Linked DNA regions of Cricetulus griseus. The protein of the gene in region 1 purifies or fractionates together with the protein of each later gene. This does not show direct contact. Links are inferred from orthologs where the notes say so. Each region holds a gene or a part of one and is shown on either strand. Other genes may lie near its edges.

Region 1 (6,711 bases):
ATATTTATAGAATACAGTATAATCCAACCTAAGTATATGACACGGAATGATTATCAGGGTGAAGCCTTTTCATCCCCTCTACCATGAATCATTTCTATGGCTGTTCTCTATCTTCCCAGTTCCTCTTGGTCACCTGACACACAATTCACTCTCAGAGCTCAGCTCAAAAATATAATAGTCTGTCCTTCTCTTTACTTCAGCATCTCTCACCACTATCATTCTACCCAGGAAATATGCACAAGACAGAGCGAGTAGCTGCCATTCACCCAGCCCTTTACAGCACATACACTGCTTTCCCAAAGGGTTGGGATATTCATATCCTATATTGTGTCCACAGCCCTGAATTTATAATGAGGGAATTAATTTGAATTCCTCTTGTGACCAAAGAAACAACTGTAAAAAGGTCAAAGAGAAAGTGTTAGATGTCTTTCAAATCCTCCCAGAAGCGTATTCACTGTATGAGAGGATTTTAAAAACATGTACTTATTGTTTAAACCATGAATTTTTTTTTTTTTTTAAAGTTCTGTTGCCTAAGCAAATCTTCCAAAGACTAAGATTAAAGGCATAGGCTGGGAGCTGCCACAGGTGGCTCAGTTGGTGAATCAGTGCTTGGCACACAAGCATGAGGACCAGAATTTGGATGTCCAGCACCAATGTCCATAGTCAGGCACTGTGGTACATGCTTATAGTCCCAGAACTGAGGAGGCAGAGACAGGAGGATGGTCCCTAGGGCTTGCTGACTAGCTAGTCTGCTGAAGAGGTGAGCCCAGGTCTCAACAGTGACCGAGGAAGACACTTGACCTCTGCCCTCCATGTGCACATCATCCTCACCTCCCCCACCACACGCAGGCAAAGAAAGTCCTAGCTACTCACAGTCGTCACCAGAAATCAATGGCAAATACTGTGTGTGTGTGTGTGTGTGTGTGTGTGTGTGTGTGTGTGTGTGTGTGTGTGTGTTCATTAGTGTTTTATATAACATATGTCTGTGTGAGGGTTTCAAAAGCCCTAGAACTTGAGTTATAGACAGGTGTGAGCTGCCATGTAGTCTTCTGGTCCTCTGGAAGAGCAGCCAATACTCCCAACTGCTGAGCCATCTCTCCAGCAAATACATTTTTTTTTTTAAATCACAACTAATATTTAAGTCCCTTTTCAAGATCCACTTCTAAGCGTGGAGACTTAATGATTAAAAAGAGCCATCAAAAGTCCTGGCCCCATATGGATATAAAATATAGTTCTTTCCCTCAAGGGGCCTGCAGTTTGCCATTTCAGTTACAAAGCAAACAAATAACTTTTACAAACACCCTGGAAAGTGGGCACAGTTAATTTGACTTCACAGGGGGAAAACTAAAGTTCCAGTGGGGAGAGATGGAGTTAAGATGTCCCCCCAAACCAGGTCTTTGAGTTCAAAGATTTTGTTAACAGAAAATGCCATTGCAGCAGTTTAAGCAAAAATCAAGAACTTCCACGGGGGAGGGGGGATAAACAGAGAGTTGGCTCAGCCATTAAGGGCACTGACCGTTCTTTCAGAGGTCCTGAGTTCAATTCCTGGCAACCACAAGGTGACTCACAACCACCTTGAATGAGATCTGGTGCCTTCTGCTGGCATGCAGACAGAAGACTGTATACATAATAAATAAAATCTTTAAAAAAAAAAAAACATCGCAAAAAGAAATAAATAAAAATAACGTTTCAAAAAAAAAAAAAAAAACTTCCATGGGACATCCTGGCTGGGGAACAGCACAATGTCACCAATAAGGCTCCAGGCAACAGGGACCTTGGGCAAAGACTGTGCAGTATTGATAGCAAATGGTTGGATTTGTCTGGAGAGCAGATACCCTCTGCAGAACCCCATGCGACAGTGAAAAGGGCACCTGAGATGGCTTAATTCAGACTCCCCAGCAGGTGATGCGCAATGCTTGAAACAGTGTGCCTCTTTAAAAGTGGCCTGAGGAAGCTAAGCCAGGAGAGGATGCCCATGCCTCCCTCAACAGAGGGACTCTTTGTTCTGGGTAATATAATAAATTCGGAGAAATACAAAGTTCCATTCAGCAAGCCCTTTACTCTTTACCCACTTGCAAACAAAGGAAAAAGACCTTCCTTTTCCAGTTCGTAATTTATGTTATCAAATCTTACTCCATCAATCTGACTGATGGACTGAAGCTGGGGAAGATTACACATAGCCACTCCAATTTCATGAGATTATTAACCCTGAAAAAGCCACTTAAGTGTTTAATGAGTACTCAGACCTCAACACATTCCAACTTCCTCAAGGGGGAAAAAGTCAGCCAGGCAAGACAAGTTTATTGCCCCAAATTGCATTCATACCTGGATGAACACAGGTAGGTTGTTGTTTGTTTGAGACAGGGTCTCGACATTTACCTGGCTGGCTTAGAATTTGCTAGGTAGAACAGGCTGGACTCAAACTTACAGAGATCTGCCTGACTCTTCCTCCCTAGGGCTCAGATTAAAGACGTGCACACCATGGCAATACAGACACTAAAAACAAGCTGTCTAAACCAGGTGTGCTGCTTCATGCCTATAACTCTAGCACTTAGGGGGCTGAAGCAGGCTCAGAGTGAATTCAAGGCACACCTGAGCAACACAGTGAGAGTCAGAACCTGGACTCTTACAGAGAAACCCTGGCACACACAAAAAGCCAAAACAAACAGAAAAAGAGAACACTCAAGTTGGCAATGTTACTATTCCATCATCTGTAAATAGAAAAATTTAAAGAGAAAACCAAAAATCTCTCCAAATGTGTTTTAGATTTTCTAAAGGACAACTGCCTCTAATTTGCAAGCAACCTGATGAGGTAGGGCCACTGACCAGTATGAGTTCTAAAACCAGATACCCCACCCACATGGCTGCCACAGCTGCCCCAGAGCCTCTAGATAGCAGGGAGCTGAGTTCTAAAACAACAATGGGAGCATTTCTAGACAAGAGGGCTTTGGAAAGACTCTCAGGCATTTTGCAAGAATATCAACTTCTGGTTTACTTCACGTGAGAGGAGCCCATTGCTTATCAACCTTGAAGGCTACCTTGAGGTAAAAGCAGAGATAAGCTTAAACCACTTTATAATGTGGAGTCTGCTGATTAGGAAAAGAAACTGCTGACATCTTCTCCAAGGCACTACATTAGTCAGGGAAACAGCTTCTCCATACACTAACTTCATTTCACAAATGATGAGGTATTTATCATCTCAAAAAAATCAAGGCTGAGGCAAACACCTAAAACCGACTTGGCAAGGGTTGGCCTGTCCCAAACAGCTCCCTGAACTGTCTTCCTTGCTTTCCCTTACCTTGGGTACAGCCTGGAAGCTGCATGTGTACTCCTGACTCCTGGGCCCTCCCAGGCTGGCATCTTTAGGCTGCTCTAAGCACTGCACAGAGATTTAAAGTTCAAAGGATAGGTTTCCTAGGCCGGGTAACCCCTTCGTCTGATTCACCCCCTTGTCATAATCCAAGTCCATCAGAGGGGAGTTAGTGGGCACAAGGGCACAGAATTTCCATTGACTTAGTCATCCTGATTTGGTTTAATTAGTACTCTTCCCTAGGCATCACCACACACACACCCACCGTTTCCAATGAGAAAACTGTAGACACACAAATAGCGACGCACCCATGCCCAAGTTGGCCACAGCAAGAAAAGCCAGATGAGGGAGGTCACTACACTGTTCCTGGTGTCGTCCTGTCCCTAGCTAATTGTGGGCCTACAGTATTTGTTGGCCTCAGTTTCCTGAGACGTTAAATGAACGTGAAAAGAGGCAACCCACACTAGATCAAGCTGAGTCAATCTGGTGCCTGGAGTTTTGTTCTCGGCTTCCACCGTCTGGAGATAAGGGGCAATGATGCAGTCGAAGCTAAGTAAACTTAAGAGCTCGTGTGCATGTAGAATTTGTTTTGTTTAAAATGGCTAAAAACAAGCAAAGTCCCTATCCTCTGCACCCATTGTCCCTCCAATTCCCACATCCTAAATCAGGTGACCACAGCTGGAATGGGCTCAAAGCCGGCCAAACAGCGGCCCCGGCTGTCACTTCTCCCAGACCACAGAACAGCGCGAGGGTGGACAGACACTGGAGAAGGCGACCTCCGCGGCTGCACCCGCCGACCAACTTCCCCGCGCCCGCGCCCGCGCCCCCAGCTCCCGCGCCCGCGGTCTCCGGAGCGGCCGCACCACCCCGCCGCATCCCGCCCAGCCCGCCCGGGTCTCTGGAAGCCGCTCACCTGCGCAGGGCACAGCAGCAGCAGGAGGAGGCCGAGGGCCGGGTGGCGCGCGCTCATGTTGTCGTCGCGCGGGGCTACCGACCGCGGTTCTGCTTGCCGTCCACCGCGACCCGAGCGCCGCCGCACTGGCTGGGCGGTTTCGGGACCGGCGCCTGAGAGTGCTGGCGCAGGCGGCGGGCTGCGCGCGCAAGTCAGGAAGCACGGAGGCGGGGTCAGGGCTGCCGCCGCTCCGAAGCCCCAAGGGGTGGGGCTAAGCCCTCGGGGCGGGGCTTAGAGCTCCGAGCAGGGCGGAGCCCGGCCGGAGCCCCGCCTGCTGGCCTCGCTCCCCCTGAAGGCGTCTTACAGCGCAGGTCTCAGGACCCCTCGCCAAAGCCTCCCCGGGAACCAGTCCAGCTCTTTTGTGCCGTCCTATCCCTGCGCGCCCCTCGGATGGGATCTCTCACACTTGAGAAACACGCATCTTTGGATGGTACTCTGGGCTTACTCCAATAACGTCTGACTTTGATGTTTTAACTTACTGCTCCCCCTTCTCTCTCTGGGTTGGAGAGGTTGGGCGAGGTTTTAGCGCGTAGTACTTCGAGGCAATTTTCCTAATTAAGAACCCAGAACACTGGGACATTTCATCCCCTGTTTCTTTTATATTTATTTATTTTTGGTTTTTCGAGACAGGGTTTCTCTGTGTAACAGACTTCAGCCTTTGTTTCTTTAGGCCCCGATAAGTACTCTGATCAACTCTCCCAATCCCAACTACCCAAAGAGGATCGGTGCTGGAACATCTTCTATCCCGCTCGGGGCGGTGACGACCGTGGCCTGACCCTATTGTGATCTGACAACTCAGTGTAGCCGCGCTTCCCATGACAGATCTGTTTACTGCTCAGACCAGTTTTGAGAACGCAATACACAGCGCCACCTACCGGCCGAGGCGTGTCTAGCAGTGAGCCCATGTTTATGGCAGAAATACAAAATACACAATAATTTAGAGACAATTGAAAAAAAATCACTTATAATTCCACCACGACGGACAGCCTATGTTACATTGTGCTGCATTTTCTCTTTTTACGAGTTTTTTCTTTGTGAAAATTATTTTAATTTGGTTGAGACCCAAACGGAGGCTTTTTGCTTGCTCAATACCACCATCACCACTTCCTTCCCTAAACGTCCTTACATTCCCAAACTTGTCTGGATTCCACAAAGCCTCGACTCTTCCTGAACTCTTGGTTTCCCTATGGTACTGCGTTACAAAAGCCTAAAAGCTATGATGATTTTCCAGAGAGAGAGAGAGAGAGAGAGATGAACAAAAGTTTCCGGAAAGAAGCCTCACCCATTTCAGACATTCTGCAAGGCTGATTGACTGCTTAGAACTTCTAGAACTTCTGTGTTCATCCAGAGCTAGAACGTTGCAGGTCCATAGTCAAATTATTTCAGGCTCCCTATTCCTGTATCACCCACCCGTGTGTTTGACCTAATGTCCTTGTGACTATCAGGTAAATCCCTTTGAAATGTATAGTAAGTCCTCTGTCTGCAATCAATCCAACGGCTAAAAACATCAAGAGAACATCAAGAGATGATATCTGAGACGATACACAGAGGCTTCCTGGCTTTGCTGTAATTTATCTATCTGATGCTTCCACCAACCTCTTTAAAATGTTCCTTTACTATTTTCTTTGTACTTTGTGGAACCGCTACCACATTGGCACATGGTATTTGAGGCACCTGAACCTGTGTTCCTGGGCCATGGTCATTCCTGTGTGTGTGTGTGTGTGTGTGTGTGTGTGTGTGTGTGTGTGTGTATGCATGCGTGCTCAAGCACACACAAATTGACCCAAGATAAAATTCTATTTAGTTGGCAGATACACACACACACACACACACATATGTATATATATATGTATATATATGTATACATGTGTGTTCTTGTGTTCACGCACATATGTGTGTATGGAGGCCAGGTGTTCCTCAAGTGCAATTCATCTTGTGTTTCTTTTAAAAAGATTTATTAATTTTAATTTCCTGTGTTTGGGTGTTTTGCCTGCATGTATATCTGTGCCCCATGTGAGTGTCTGGTACCCATGGAGGTCAGAAGAGGACATTGGATCCCATAGAACTGGAGTTATAGACATCTGTGAGCCACCATGTGGGTGCTGGGAACCAAACTCAGGTCCTCTGGAAGAACAGCAAGTACTCTTATCCACTGAGCTAGTCCCTTTCCTTTTAAAGATTATTTTTACAATGCATATGCTTATGGGTATGGGTATTGTACATGAATACAGATTCCTATAGAGGCCATAAGGGGCTACCAGATGCCCTGTAGCTGGATATACAGGTGGTTGTGAACTGTCCAAAATAGGCACTGGAAGCTGAACTTCAACCTTCTTCAAGAAGAGCAAGTGCTGTCCAGACCCCACCTTGTTTTTTGGGACAGAGTTTCTCACCTGGAGCTGAGTGTCTGGGGCTCACCAATTAGGCTAGGCTGGCTGGCCACCTGTTT
Region 2 (6,915 bases), on another chromosome or scaffold:
TAGCCAGAAACCATGCAAAACAGGAGGTACATTCTTGATGTTACCTTATAATATGAAGATCCCCAATATCTGAAAGGATAGCTAAGTTATTCAGGAAATCCAGTAATTAACCAGCATTTGTGTGTGGAGAAGCTGGGTTTCTGATGTCCAAACCAAAGAAGAAACATTGTTTATAAGAAATGGTGGCAGTTATGCCCAATGGTTGAGTATAATTGTGGGGACTTCTTCAAGAGACACTGCTTCACCTTGTGACATTCAGAAAGAGTGTGGTGAACAGGACTGTTCACATGAAGATTATAGAATGACGTTGACCTCACCGGCTATGTTAATAGAACCAAAGCATGGTTGGCAGGGAGTGATTCAAGGCTTAAGAGAACCTGCTGCTCTTTCAGAGATCTGGAGCTTGGTCCCAGTGTACACCTTGTATGGCTCACAACCACCTGTAACTAACTTCACTCCAGGGAATCCAATACCCTCTCTGGCCTCCAAGGGCACCTGCACACATGGGTATACAAACACGCAGAAGTAAAGCAAGTCTTTCAAACTAAATAAGTAAAGCATGGTTTCTCCTAGCTCCTCTGAGATGTGTGCTGAAGCCCAGAATGTTGTTCCCAGAGCAACAAGTCATCAATGGGTGGCCATGCTGACTGAAGTCAGCCAGCGAATTCTTGTTCCCCAGCTGTTGTCCAGAAACACTGTGGGCAAGTCTGAGCTTGGTGATAAATACTCTAAGGACCAACTTATTGGGATCTTCCTAGACCTTAAGAATAGCACAGAATTAGGTAAACTTCATGCTCTGTGACTTCATTTTAGGGCATGTGGGAAGAGGCACTGCCTGAGTCTTGCCTCCCAGTACACTACGGATGCTTAGGTACCTCCCCACACCTACACCCCCATCCCCGCACCCCAGACTACCCAGGAATCCTTGAACAAATTCTCAGACTTAAGCCAGGGGCTTAGGTAATAGCTCCACACCTTTCTAAGTACTGATCTTCTGTGCTGATTCATGTCACAGATAGTAGAATTCCATACCTGTCTATCCAGTCAGTCATGTCTCAAACTAGATTTCTTCACTTAAGAGGTCCCTGGACAATATAGAAGGATCTGAAGGTGTATTTTAGAGTCAGGATGCTTGTGAAGGGAAGAAAAACACAAGGAAGGTAGGGAGGAAGATAGGAAGGAAGGAAGGAAGGAAGGAAGGAAGGGAGGAAGGAAGGAAGGAAGGAAGGAAGTTCAGATCTGTTGATAATTTTGGATGAAGGAGAAAAAAACTACCTGATTACAGAAGAAATTTTGTAATTTTTTTTTATTTATGAAGGTAAGAAAGCATTAATGAAACCTTGTTACCAAAGGAAGTAATAGCTTCACAGTTAATTATAGTTGTTACATTGTATTTAAATAACAAGATGATCCTCATTTGAGTTTTTTTCTAGTCTAGACTAGTTTCAAACACAAAATGCAGCAGTCTCTGCCTTAGCCTCATGGGGAGACTGAACTTTGCACTTGGTCCCCAACCCTTGCCCTTTGTCTTCATTTGAAAGAATGTTTCTAGAGCTTTTTTATTTGATGTGTTAAAGATCACACCTAACACATGGGTGCCATTAAGGAAGGGCACAAAATGGTCCCTGTGCCAGGGTGTGAGGGGTGTGGCATTACTATATTTCTGTGGCAGGAACGCATTTTTCAAACACTTCAACAATCACATTTGAATGTAGTTGGTTCCTCTGGAAACCCCATGCATCTAATCCTGTGCACTAGCAAATGTTATTTTGCAAAGGTGCCTGGATTGGAGAGTGCATCAAAGATACAGCCTCTGGGACTTAGAAAGGACAGTTGTTCAGCTCTCCATCAGCCATTAGATACAACCCAGGGTCCCTTTGGGCTGGTCACAGATGTGTGGAGCACAGAGATCTTTTTTTCCCCTTTGGTAAGGGGCCAGGTACAAACTGGCACCTGCTTTTCCTCAAGGGTTGGTTACAAGACAGAAGTTTGGCCTGATGTGGCAGCATATGCTGGTAACCCTCTTGAGGGTAAGACAAGAAAGCCTCAAATTCAAGGTCAGCCTAGGCTACAACAATAGAACACTGTCAAAGAATGATGTTCCTTAAGAATCCACTGATTTTTAACTTCTATATTGCAGGTGAGAGTTAAAACCTGGAAACAAGTGGAAACTCACTTCAGATTATCGAAGTTACAGTCAGCAGCTGTTGTAATCTCATTGAGTGAGCTCCCTCTTTATATATTTTTATTCCTTCACAAGTATCAAATATAAGTGTATATAAATATAAGAATTAAAATGAAAAGGGAGGAAGGAGGGAAAATTTACTAATACTCCAATGAATTCTGAGTTTAAGGGATTTTAGTCTAAAATAAATCTTAATAGAAAAGAGTGCAATTCCACTTCTAAGTTTGTGTAAGGCCTGTCCACAACTGTTTTTTTCTTTTTTTCTCTTTTTTCAAATAAGAAAAAAATAAAAAGAGGAAAGGAATATTGAAACATCATAGCTGGAGAGATGGCTGAGCATTAAGAAGACTCGCTAAACTTCCGGGGGTATTGGACACCCTTTTCTGACCTCTGTAGACAGCAGGCATGGATGTGGTACATATACACACATGCAAAGAAAACACCCATGCATATGAAATAAAAATTCTAAACCAAAGCATATTAGTCTAGGGAGGGCCATGAGGGGCCCACGCACTTGGCATATGGAGTATCAGAAGTTCACTGACTGCCAGCCTGGACTACGTGAGACCTGGTTTTAAAAACAAAAAGAAAGAAAAAAAAGTATAATTTTAATATATATGGTATACTTTATATATAATGTTTAATATTAAATAACTACATTTTCTACACTGTTTAATATTAAATAACATGAATATACTACACAGAAATCCCACAACAAAACTACTCTATGGTTGTCGGTGTGGCTCAGTATTTGCCTAATACGGACAAGGGTAAGGGTTTGATTCCTAGCTTCTCAAAACCAAAAATAAATAAAAAGAGAGGGGAAAATCCCCCCAAACACCAAAACAAAACAACCAAAGCAGAGCCCAAATTTGACTAAAGAAGCAGACTCCACAGAGGTCACTCCAAAGTTTCTCAAGGCGATGAGCAGGTGCAGCAGCGCGTGGGGCGTTTTGAAAGCAGGCAGCTCAGTCGGGTTCCCACGCGGCCATGTGCGGCTGTGCTCCGAGGCCGCGGCGCCGGGCGGAGTCTGGGCTGCAGAGCCGGCGCTCTGGGCGGGGAGCAGGCGCGGCCCTGCGCTCGGGGCGGGGAGCTGGCCCAGCGTCCCGTGCAGCCCGGCCAGGCCGGAGCCAGACGGCGGGCGGGTCCCGCGCCATGGGGCGACTGGTGGCACTGAGTTTGCTGGGCATCGGGCTGGCACTGCTGGGCGAGCGGTTCCTGGCGCTCAGGTAGGTGCTGCCGAGGACCCCGGGTCGAAGATCCTCAGGCTGGGATGGCCCAGCTGCTTGGGGCGGGGGGGTAGAGGTGGAGGGGGGCGCACTGGAGCTAGAGCTCATGTAGCTCAGGGGACCAGGCCGAGGGAAGAACTTTGGATCATCACCGGTGTCCCATTCAGCTGGCCCAGTCCACCGCCATCACGACCTAGTCACTTTGTAAAAAGTTTTTCCCAGCCTGGGCTGGTGACGAGGTTCTTCTGCCTAGGCGGACAAGAGAGAGCTTTGCAAATTTCCCTAGGGCCAAACCCAGTGCTTTAATTTGAAAACAAAACCATTACTCATGCGTGGGTGCTCTAATTACACAGCTTTATTGCAGGTCACTGGTGCTGTTCTCCACAGCCGGAACCCAAGCCTCTCCAATATAATAGTTGGGGAAACTTCGGTGCTCCAGTCTTGGTTCTGGAGATCAAAGAAGACAGACAGCTACTGTTCTTACATCATTTCCTTATTTATTCACCAGAGCTCCAGGAGCAGAACGAGCGATGGTCAGATTTTAACTACAGAGAAAACCTTCTGGGTAGACATCAGGCTTTCAAGTTACCAATTCAAAGGGTATAAGCCTCTTGCAAAAGAGTTCCAGAACATTTGAGTGCCTACAAGGTAGTAGGGACATGTTTGCCCCAGGTTCCTGTAGAGAACTGGGAACCCTAAATGAAGTCCAGATTTGTTTTGTTTTGTTTTTAAATTTAAATTAGAAACAAGCTTGTTTTATTGTCAATCTCAGATCCCTCTCCCTCCCCTCCTCCCCTCCCCCATCCCCTTTCTGCTCCCCAGAGAGGGTGAGGTCTTCCCTGGGGGATCAATGAAGTCCTTTTTGATACAGGAGAAAAATATGGGAACTGGATATCCAAAACAGGAAAATGGAATCCTTATAGAGTTAAAGAGAAAAGAAGCCGCCCTCTGAAGGTGTTCTGGAAGGAGGAGCAATCTGACAGCTGGGGGGTGGAGAGAAGCATGAAGCTGACCATCCCCTGTGGCAAGTGTAGTGCCAGCAAAGAGGCCACGTTGGGGAAAGTTACGAACAGCAACTGGAGGACAGGGCTTGCCATGTGTCTGAGGCTTCGAAGTTGGGCTCTCTCTGATAGGCAAAAGGGGAGTGTTAGTGTTTATTGGTTGTTTAGCATCCCGCTGATCTAAGGAGTCTTGTACTATACAAAATAGTGTATAAGGACAGAGCAGTAGTGGCCTCATTAAAGGATCTCCTGGAACCCTGGTATCCAAGTGGCACCATGTGACAAATTCTAATTTAATTGGTCGGGGTGGGGCTAGGACTTCAGTTTTTGGTTTGCATATATATATATATATATATAATATATATATATATATATATAATTCTTGGTTTTGAGATGAAGTCTCACGCTACATCCGCTATATCCTCTGTTTTGAAGCTCAGTCTAGTCTTGAAACTCTGGATTCTTGGTCTCCCAACTTGCTGCTATTACAGGCACACACCACCACGATGTACAGGATTTTCTTTTTCCTTTAATATTTGCTCTTTCCTAAAGACCTGTAGTGTAGCTCAGTGATAGATCGTTGCTCAGCATGCTTGAAGCTTGGGGTTCCAGCCCCAGCACCACGCTACAAAATCAAAACACAGACCACACACATCTCTCTCTTGGTAATTCTTGTGTATACTATGCATCATCAGCGTTGAGAGCTACTGGACTGGATGTGGGGAAAACAGAGCATCACAGAGGGTTGGAAATGATAAAGGAGACCCAGACTGCATCCCCAGGAATGAGAGACAAGGCCGAAGTGAAAGTGTGGCTTGCAAGATAATTCCAGGGTCCCATAGCTGCAGCCTCACTTGGTGCTAAGACACCAAGTGTGGGGGTAGGAGCATTGGAACAAGGAGGAACGCTTAAGCCTGTGGTAGGGAATGCCAAGGCCAATGTAATGGCTCTGCAGAACGTTCATGCATTAGATGGGTTTGGGCCATGTTTTGTTTTTGATGGATATACAATAAGTGTACATATTTATGGGCTCCCAGACCTATAATGATTAGCACAGCCATCACCGTAAGCACTTGCCCTATTTTTTTTTTTCAGATGAGAATAGGAAAAAGCCTTTCTTCCTAGTTCGAAGTACACACTATTGTATAGTCACTGCCCTGCTGAAGACAACAGCAGAACCCACTTTAAAGGTCTACCACACTGCCCTTTCCCCTTTCTCTGTGGCTGGCCCTTAGGGACTTTCCATTTGGGAGCTGTAGTGTATAGTGCAAAGAAACTATCCAAATGCAAGCATCTCTTCAGCAGGGGTTTCATTCCCTTTGGCTATATATCCAGTGTTGACATGGCTAGAATCTATATGGTACTTCTACTTCAACACATTTTAAGGCATCTCCATATTGTTTTCACAATGGCATAGCATTTTACATCATCACCCAGACTTTTAAAAAGGCTCTCTTTCTGAAAAGGGCATGTGGCTCAATGGGAGAGTACCAGCCTATATGGGACCATGCATTCAACCTCCAGTATAGACAGAGACGTGCTCACTGTTGCTCTGTCTCTTTTTGGCAGCTCTCATTCTGACTAGAGTGAGATAGTATCTCTTGGAGAGCTTGAATTGCTTTCCCCTGATGACTGGTGAAGCTGGTTATTTCTTCATAAGCACTTTGGCCATCGTTTGTCTTCTAAGAAATTCTACTGAGGGCTTTTGCTTATTTGGGTTTCAGTTTATTCTCTTGTTTTGTTTTGCTAATGAGTTATGCAAGTTTCTTACAGGTTTTGACTACTATGGAGTGTATCGCAAATGTATCCTCCCATTCTGTGGGCTGTTTCTGAAATCTGTTGGTTGGTTGTTTCATTCAATGGAAGCTTTCCAGTTTGATGTAGTCTCCTGTTTTGGTTTCCTGTGCTTTTGAGGTCTTAGGGATTAAGTGACTTTGTGCATTCAGTATTAAGGAGACACAAAAATTCCTGGGCTCATCCAGTGGTCACTAACGGTTAAATCATTAGTGTTTCCACAAGCTGAGTTTTGCTCAGTCGATAGTTAACTTTTCCCCTTTCTTACTAACCTTCAAGTCCAAAGTTTAAGACCCTCTGAGTGACCAGTATAGTTTCAAATTTAAGAAAAGTAAGCATAGATGAGAACCCATGTGGCTGGAGGGATCACTAGTGCTGAGAGCTTGTGGTACAAAGAACTCACGTAAAAATCAGACAGGGCCATGCATGCCTGTAACCCAGGCTGTCTCTAGGTGATAAGGTGGATGCAAACCCAGGGTCCTAATCTGATTTCTACATGTATGTACATGTGTGCATGCATCCCATCAACAAACACACTACACCACACCCACACACACCACACCCACACGCCCACACACACTCAGTGAATTCAGAGGGTAGGTAGTTTACAGCTTGGTGCGAACTCTCTTTACAAATCCCTGACCGAGGTAAACTTTGATGAGCAATGATTTTGTAGCTGGTGACTTGGTGACTTTATTGGATAGTT
Region 3 (6,908 bases), about 120 Mb from region 1:
TCTATATAGGGTCTATCTGTTCCTCTCTCTTCCAGATCCCAGATACAAGATCTCTGCTGTGACATTAAGGGAATATGGCTGTCATTCGCATCCCCTTGGATGCGACAGCTTGGAGTCACTCAAAGGCTTAGGATCTTTTTTTTTTTTTTTAAAGGACTAGGTTGGAGGAGGTTTCTGAAAGACCAGAGAGGGAAGTTGCAAGCCTGATGGTCTCAGAAAATGTTTCTGCCTGGAGTAAGGGCAGAAGCCTGCTATAGAAGGGCCCTCTGAGCTCTGGGTATTGCTTGGCAGGGAGGTGGGGGTTGTTACAGCAACTAAGATGGTAAATGAGAACAGATTTGTTAGAGTGGCTTACAGGCTGTGGTCCAGCTAGTCTAACAGTGGCTATCTAGGTCCAAGAACCCAGTAGTTGTTCAGTCCACCACAGGGCTGGCTGTCTCAGTTGGTCTTCAATATACTCTGGAATCCAAAGAAGTAGGCTCTAATGCCAGTGAAGGAATGGATTTGCCATCGAAGGTGAGAGCAGGCAGGCAAAGAGAGAGCAAGCTTCCTACCTTCATGTTGTTTATATATGCTGCAAGCAGAAGGAGTGGTCCAGATTAATGGTGTATCTTCCTACCTCAAAGATCCCGATCGGAAGTAGGTCTTCCCACTACAACTGATTTAATTAATAATAATAATAAATCCCACATAGGTGTGCCCAGTCATTTGGGTTTTAGTTAATTCCACAGGTAGTCAAGTTGACAACCAAAAATAGCCATCACAATAGGTGTTTTGTATCCTAGGATTGAAACCTTCCATCCTGCAGGAAGCTCCTTAAGGAGGAAGGTAAACAACTCAAAACAACTGCTTCATGAAGTCCCTAAAACCCACCAGATTCACTAGGCTCCTCCCTGCCAGAGTAAGCAGTAAAAGCTGGGAATCCCTCTCAGACACAATGAAGCTGAGCTGTAAAGAAATCTCTCAGGAGCAGACTAGTTCCCTGGCAGAAGCAGAAACGAGCCAAGCTGCCTAGAAGAGGTTTGGATCAACTGAATCAGTTGGAAAAGGCACTCAACTCCAACCTGTTGAACCATCTGCAGGCTGTACACTGTGCTTCAGGTTCCTAGCTTTTGTGAGTTGTCAGCAATGCTGGAGTGGGCTTTGGTGATGCAGCTGCTGTCTTTTAGTCATTTTTGCTCCCATAAGTTACCCCCTAAAACTCACTGGGCCACCAAATTGGATTTTTGTGGTATTTGTACTTTGGTCTGCTGTGGATTCCCTATCTGGTGTGAGCAGACTTGTGTCTTGCGTCTCCTGAAGAAACATTTTGTCACACAACAATAGGACTTCTGTAACTGGCCAAAGGTTAAAAAAGGGGGGGGGGATAGAATTTCACATTATTATTTTTTTATTTTTATGTGTATTGGTGTTTTACCTGCATGTATGTCAGTGTACTATGTGTGTGCAGTTCCCACAGAGGTCAGAGGAGTCGGCTCCACTGGAACTGGAGTTACAAACACTTGTGAGCCACCTTGTACGTGCTGGAAATCAAACCAGGGTCCTCTGGAAGATCAGCAGTGTTACCAATGAGGCATCTCTCCAGCCCAAGATTTCACATTGTTTTAGAAGCTAGATCTGGAAATGTCACACAGCACTTCTGCTTCCATTACACTGCCCTTGGCACAAGGCCCTACCTGACCATCGCTCAAGAGCAAAAGGAAATGTCCTTGCCACATACTCTCAGACTCCCTCAGTTACATTTAACTACAGTGATCCTTCATCCCATCACTTCTGTGTATAAGGCTAGTTTCTTCTAGTTGCTTACGGGTTTTGTTGCTGTTCTTGTTGTTGCTTTAGACATGGTCTTCTGTGACCTGTGCTGACTGTGTTGCTAAGGGTGACCCTGAACAACTAACTGTTCCTTGTGCCTTTACTTCTCAAGTTCTAGAATAACAGGTGTGTGGCACTACGCTCAGCTTTATGTTGTCTTCTTCCAACTAACATACATAACCTTAACCATGTGCCAGGCACTAGCTACTTTAAAATAGTAATTCACTTAATAATTGGCATAATAAAGGTATGTACTATGAAGCAGATACTTATTTATTTATTTATTCTATGTTACAGATAAAGCTGTCAATGTATGCTCTTAAATGCTGAGACCTGTCAGCAGCACCCAGAGTTAGCACTGAAACAAGATCTCACTAGGTAGCACTGACATAGATGGGCTCTCTTACTTGTACCCTAGTTCAATTTTGCTCCCCTCCAAATGGAACCCAGTACCATTCTGTGGCAATAGCGAATCCCATGGTTCCCTAGTTAATAAACCTATTGGCCTTTCACATTTTTGTGCTTCAGAACATAAGGTGAAGTGTAGGCTCAGAGAAAACAAGCATGGTGGTGCTCGTCTTTAATCCCATCACTGGAAAGGCAGAGGCAGAAGGCTCTCGGTGAGTTTGAGGTCAGCCTAGACTACATAGCGAGTTCCAGGCCAGCTAAGGCTACATCGTAAGACCCTGTCTACATATATGTCTCGCCTTTTCGCTCTTTGACTATTGGAATGATTCCCATCAGCTGCAATGTCCTTCTCTCTTCTAAACACTTCAGATGTCACCACTCCTGGAAGGCCTTTCCCAGTGGCACTATGTGCTCCCTGCTTCTTTGCTAGCAATCACGAGTCCTAGAAAGCTTTGTCTACTTACGGGATCGCCAGCCCAGGTGGGTGAGTCCATTCTGGGACTTCCCGCAGCTATCCCCAACAGAGTTTAGTGTTAGGACACCAGGACTGAACACTTTGGGGGCGGCTCGGCCCCGCCCCCTCACCGCCCGTGTGAATCGCGCCACCCAACCTTTGCTCTACCCGTCATAAAATGGTTCAATCCAGAGGGCGGTGCCAAGTGCCCCGAACGTTCCGATTGGCTCGGGCGAGCCGTACCATGGTGGCGGGGGCGACCGTGGGCAGCGGCTTTTGAGTCTGTATGAGGATAAGCTGAGGCCCTAGCTCTCCCCTGTGCTGGTGGTGCCCGGCTGCCCGCCGTGATGCAGTGGTCCTTGGGCCGGCGGTGGGCATGGATCGCCCTATTTCTGGCTGTTGCCGCGGTGCTGACCCAGGCGGTGTGGCTGTGGCTGGGTACTCAGAACTTCGTCTTCCAGCAAGAAGAGATAGCGCAGCTTGCTCGACAGTACGCTGGTGAGCGGGTGAACGGGTGAGCGGGTGAGCGGGTGAGCGGGTGAGGGCGGGTAGCAAGATGGGCCGGCACAGAGCGGAACGGAGCTGCGTTTCCCGAGGGCGCCTTCCCCGCCGAGCCTCAATCCGGGGCAGGTCTCACCCACGCCACTCCTCTTTGCATCAGGACTGGACCATGAGCTGGCCTTCTCTCGGCTGATCGTGGAGCTGCGGAGGCTGCACCCAGGCCACGTGCTGCCGGATGAGGAGCTGCAGTGGGTGTTTGTGAACGCCGGCGGCTGGATGGGCGCCATGTGTCTTCTGCACGCCTCGCTGTCTGAGTACGTGCTGCTCTTCGGCACCGCCCTGGGCTCCCGTGGCCATTCGGGTCAGTGCTGGCGGTAGGCCGGATTGGGAGGCTGGGACTGTTCGAGGTCGGATGCCTCCATTCTGAGGTTTGGTTGGGCCGTGTGTTGACAAGGATACTCTGATGGGCGGTGTCTGTTTTATTGTCACTCAGGGCGATATTGGGCTGAGATTTCTGACACCATCATCTCTGGCACTTTCCACCAGTGGAGAGAGGGCACCACGAAAAGTGAAGTCTTCTACCCAGGTGAGTAAGGAAGTTATGTCCGAGTGGGCGCCCTCTAGCTGGGGACAGGCCTAAGGCAAGGAAAGAGCCTATCAAAAAGGCCTACCCAGTGATTTCCTTCTGTCCCCTAAACCACAGGTGTTTGGTTAGGTTGGAGCTGAGGAACTCTTTCGCTTTCATTTGTTAAAGGGAAACAAAACACGGCAGTTTCCCATCATAGGGGGCTGATTTTTATCAGCCTGTTTTACCCAGCCATTATTCCAGCAATTATTTGGTAGATAATCATACCTGAAAGTTAAGACAGACATTTCATTTCCCATCCTTTTTAAACTAGTGAGACAGTTTGGGAGTTTTGTTGTTGTTTTTCAACCTTTTTTTTTTTTTTTTTTTTCGAAGCAGGGTTTCTCTGTGTAACAGCCCTGGCTGTCTTGGAACTCGCTCTGTATACAGACCAGGCTGGCCTTGAACTCACAGAGATCTGCCTGCCTCTGCCATTCCCAGCACTCGGGAGCAGAGGCAGGCAGATCTCTGTGAGTTCAAGGCCAGCCTGGACTACAGAGTGAGTGCCAGGATAGGCTCCAAAGCTACACAGAGAAACCCTGTCTCGAAAAACCAAAAAAATAAATAAAATAAAATAAAAGCATGTGCCACCACCAACCAGCACGCCTATTGTTTTTTAATTGGACCTCTGCATCCATTTAAAAGAAAAAGTTTGGACTTGGTGGTGTAAGGATAATCGTCAGAAAAGCCTGGCAAGCCTTGTAGCTGTCATACTAGCCCAGCTCGGTTAGCAACATTTCCACTTGATACGAGTGAAACATGAGAATGCAGGTGCCCATTGCTTCCATATATTAGACTGTAGCTGGGTGGGGGTTGCCCTCCATAGTCTCCCCCAAGAGAGGACATGGGCCAGGCGATGTCATAGGATATTTAGGAGTGGGCGTTTTGGTCTCTATTTCCCCTCTGATTGGCAGCCAGACCAATGGGGTGGAGTTTCTTCCTTTCTTGAAACTGTGTTTTCATTCTCCACCTCTGCAAAGATAGTGCAAAGGCTAGGGAAACGCAGTTATAGAAGGGCATCCCTGGGCTTCTCACGACATGCTTCTTGTCTAACCCCAAGGAGAGACAGTTGTACACGGACCTGGAGAGGCAACGGCTGTGGAGTGGGGACCAAACACGTGGATGGTGGAGTACGGCCGAGGTGTCATTCCATCTACCTTGGCATTTGCACTGGCTGACACTGTCTTCAGCACCCAGGACTTCCTCACCCTCTTCTATACCCTTCGCTCCTATGCCCGGGGCCTCCGGCTTGAGCTCACCACCTACCTCTTTGGCCAAGACCCCTGACCAGCCAGGCCTGAAGGAAGACCTGTGGATGGACAGGAGTGGGCAGGACCACATTCATCTACTTGCTGGAACTCATATGCACAGACAGCACCATACACCATGCAGATATTAAGTTCCTACTGTATGAGGAAGGTCATACATAGTTACACATCCAGACACAGCCCTTTGGGAGCCAGTGAGACACATAGAGATGCTAAGATTTGTATGTACTGTAAGGTCATGTACTCATATCCATCCAGAGAGGGCCCCTACATATATAAGAAGGGGGCCAGTCATGTTTGAACATCTATCACAAGCTTGACTCACTGACTCAGGCCTTTCCAGAGCTTGCTGCTGGCATTCAGGGCTCTGGGATTAAGGATTGGGGTGGATGTTTCATTCTGCCTGATACTCTGATACTACAGTAGGAATCTCAGTAAAGGAAAAGTGGAACTGCCCTTGGGAGGCCCCCTTCACCTGCTGCCATGATGTCCTTCCCTTCATCTCCCTTTTCCTCACCATATGCCTTATCTCCATTCCACCTCCTGCTATGCAAGTGCCCCTGTGGCTTATCCTCCCTGCCCTCAGCAACCAACTCAGCTGGGAAAGCAGAGAAATGTGTAGAAGGCTAAAGGGAGTGTCTTCCATCTCAGAGACCCCTGTTGGGGGTATGATGAGAATTCTGGCTTAAGCCCAGGCCTGTCCTCAAGGAAAGGGCCTGGAGAAGGAATCTTGGGTCCAAGGAGCCACCCCAGTCCAAAGGAAGCCCTTATGTGCACACCCCTCTGTTTCCAGACATTTCTGTTGCATTATCTGTCTACCTGTCGGTCTCTGGTAATAAAAACTTGTTAAACAGTTCCATTTCCTTGTGTGTGTGAACAGTAGAAAGGCTGCTGCCTCCTGGGCACTTCAAAAGGCCCTACAATCCAGTATGTAAGACCAGTTTTGGACAGAAGGGGCTATATATTTGAATGTGTTTAAGAATTACTTAGGAGGCTGGGCAGGCATGGTGGCGCATGCCTTTAATCCCAGCACTTGGGAGGCAGAGGAAGGCAGATCTCAGTGAGTTCAAGGCCAGTCTGGTCTACAGAGCAAGTTCCAGGGCTGCTACACAGAGAAACCCTGTCTTGAAAAACCAAGCAAATAAAAATTAAGTAGGAATTACTTAGGAGACAGTCTTTCTAGGGGTGGTGGTGTTGGAGCAAGGCCTCCCTTTACAGCCTTGGCTGTCCCAGAACTTATAGATATCTGTCTGCCATTGTCTTCTGAGTGCTGGGACTAAAGGTGAACACCACCACATACAGCTTTTTTAAATCTAAGAATGGCATTGAATTTACTTTACGAAGCTGAAATCAAACTTGAACTTCTGATCATCCTGCCTCTGCTTCCTAGGGCTGAGGATTAGGGCCAGAGCTTTGTGCATGCCTGGCAAGTGTGGTTTTAACCACAACCCTAGAAGGCTCCTGAGTCTCCAGCTGACTGGATTGCATCTATAGAGATCAGTTTTAAAATATGAGGAATTGAGCAGTGTGAGGTACTGTGTCTACTCTGCCAGTTCAGTCCTGGTTCTGAGAAATTAGCCATACATGGCCATGGGGTGGCACTATACTCCCACGTTTGAGCTGAAAAGCAGTCTAGGCTGGCTTTGGGGCCTCCCAGAGTATGGAGTGCAACTCTATGTGGAAGAGATTTCCTCTGTTCTGGTTTGCTTTTTACCCAGCACTTGAGGAGTTCTTGTGTGGGGTATGAACCCCACAGGCAGACAGGCACAGGCAGACAGGGTCAAAAGACCTCATTCCTAAGGACCTTGTTCATGTCTTCTCTTGTTCCCAGGTCACCAAG

What was found.
Region 2: the proteins of Npc1 (region 1) and Pon2 purify together in Homo sapiens (affinity purification with mass spectrometry; 3 studies listed by BioGRID and IntAct, with this or other methods). This does not show direct contact. The link is inferred for Cricetulus griseus from reciprocal best matches to the Homo sapiens genes NPC1 and PON2.
Region 3: the proteins of Npc1 (region 1) and Sigmar1 purify together in Homo sapiens (affinity purification with mass spectrometry; 3 studies listed by BioGRID and IntAct, with this or other methods). This does not show direct contact. The link is inferred for Cricetulus griseus from reciprocal best matches to the Homo sapiens genes NPC1 and SIGMAR1.

Annotation. Positions count from the first base shown.
Region 1 is NC_048595.1:224,087,053-224,093,763, reverse strand, and holds the start of Npc1 (NPC intracellular cholesterol transporter 1 precursor), read right to left. Parts: upstream 4,329-6,711; 5' UTR 4,281-4,328; coding exon 4,224-4,280; intron 1-4,223. UniProt on the Homo sapiens protein: Intracellular cholesterol transporter which acts in concert with NPC2 and plays an important role in the egress of cholesterol from the endosomal/lysosomal compartment.
Region 2 is NW_023276806.1:219,552,761-219,559,675, forward strand, and holds the start of Pon2 (serum paraoxonase/arylesterase 2), read left to right. Parts: upstream 1-3,266; 5' UTR 3,267-3,340; coding exon 3,341-3,414; intron 3,415-6,915. UniProt on the Homo sapiens protein: Capable of hydrolyzing lactones and a number of aromatic carboxylic acid esters. Has antioxidant activity. Is not associated with high density lipoprotein.
Region 3 is NC_048595.1:100,860,245-100,867,152, forward strand, and holds Sigmar1 (sigma non-opioid intracellular receptor 1), read left to right. Parts: upstream 1-2,934; 5' UTR 2,935-3,021; coding exon 3,022-3,172; intron 3,173-3,335; coding exon 3,336-3,536; intron 3,537-3,668; coding exon 3,669-3,761; intron 3,762-4,860; coding exon 4,861-5,087; coding exon of another isoform or gene 5,088-5,199; 3' UTR 5,200-5,927; downstream 5,928-6,908. Other genes in the region: Galt (galactose-1-phosphate uridylyltransferase), read right to left, coding at 2,685-2,714. UniProt on the Homo sapiens protein: Functions in lipid transport from the endoplasmic reticulum and is involved in a wide array of cellular functions probably through regulation of the biogenesis of lipid microdomains at the plasma membrane.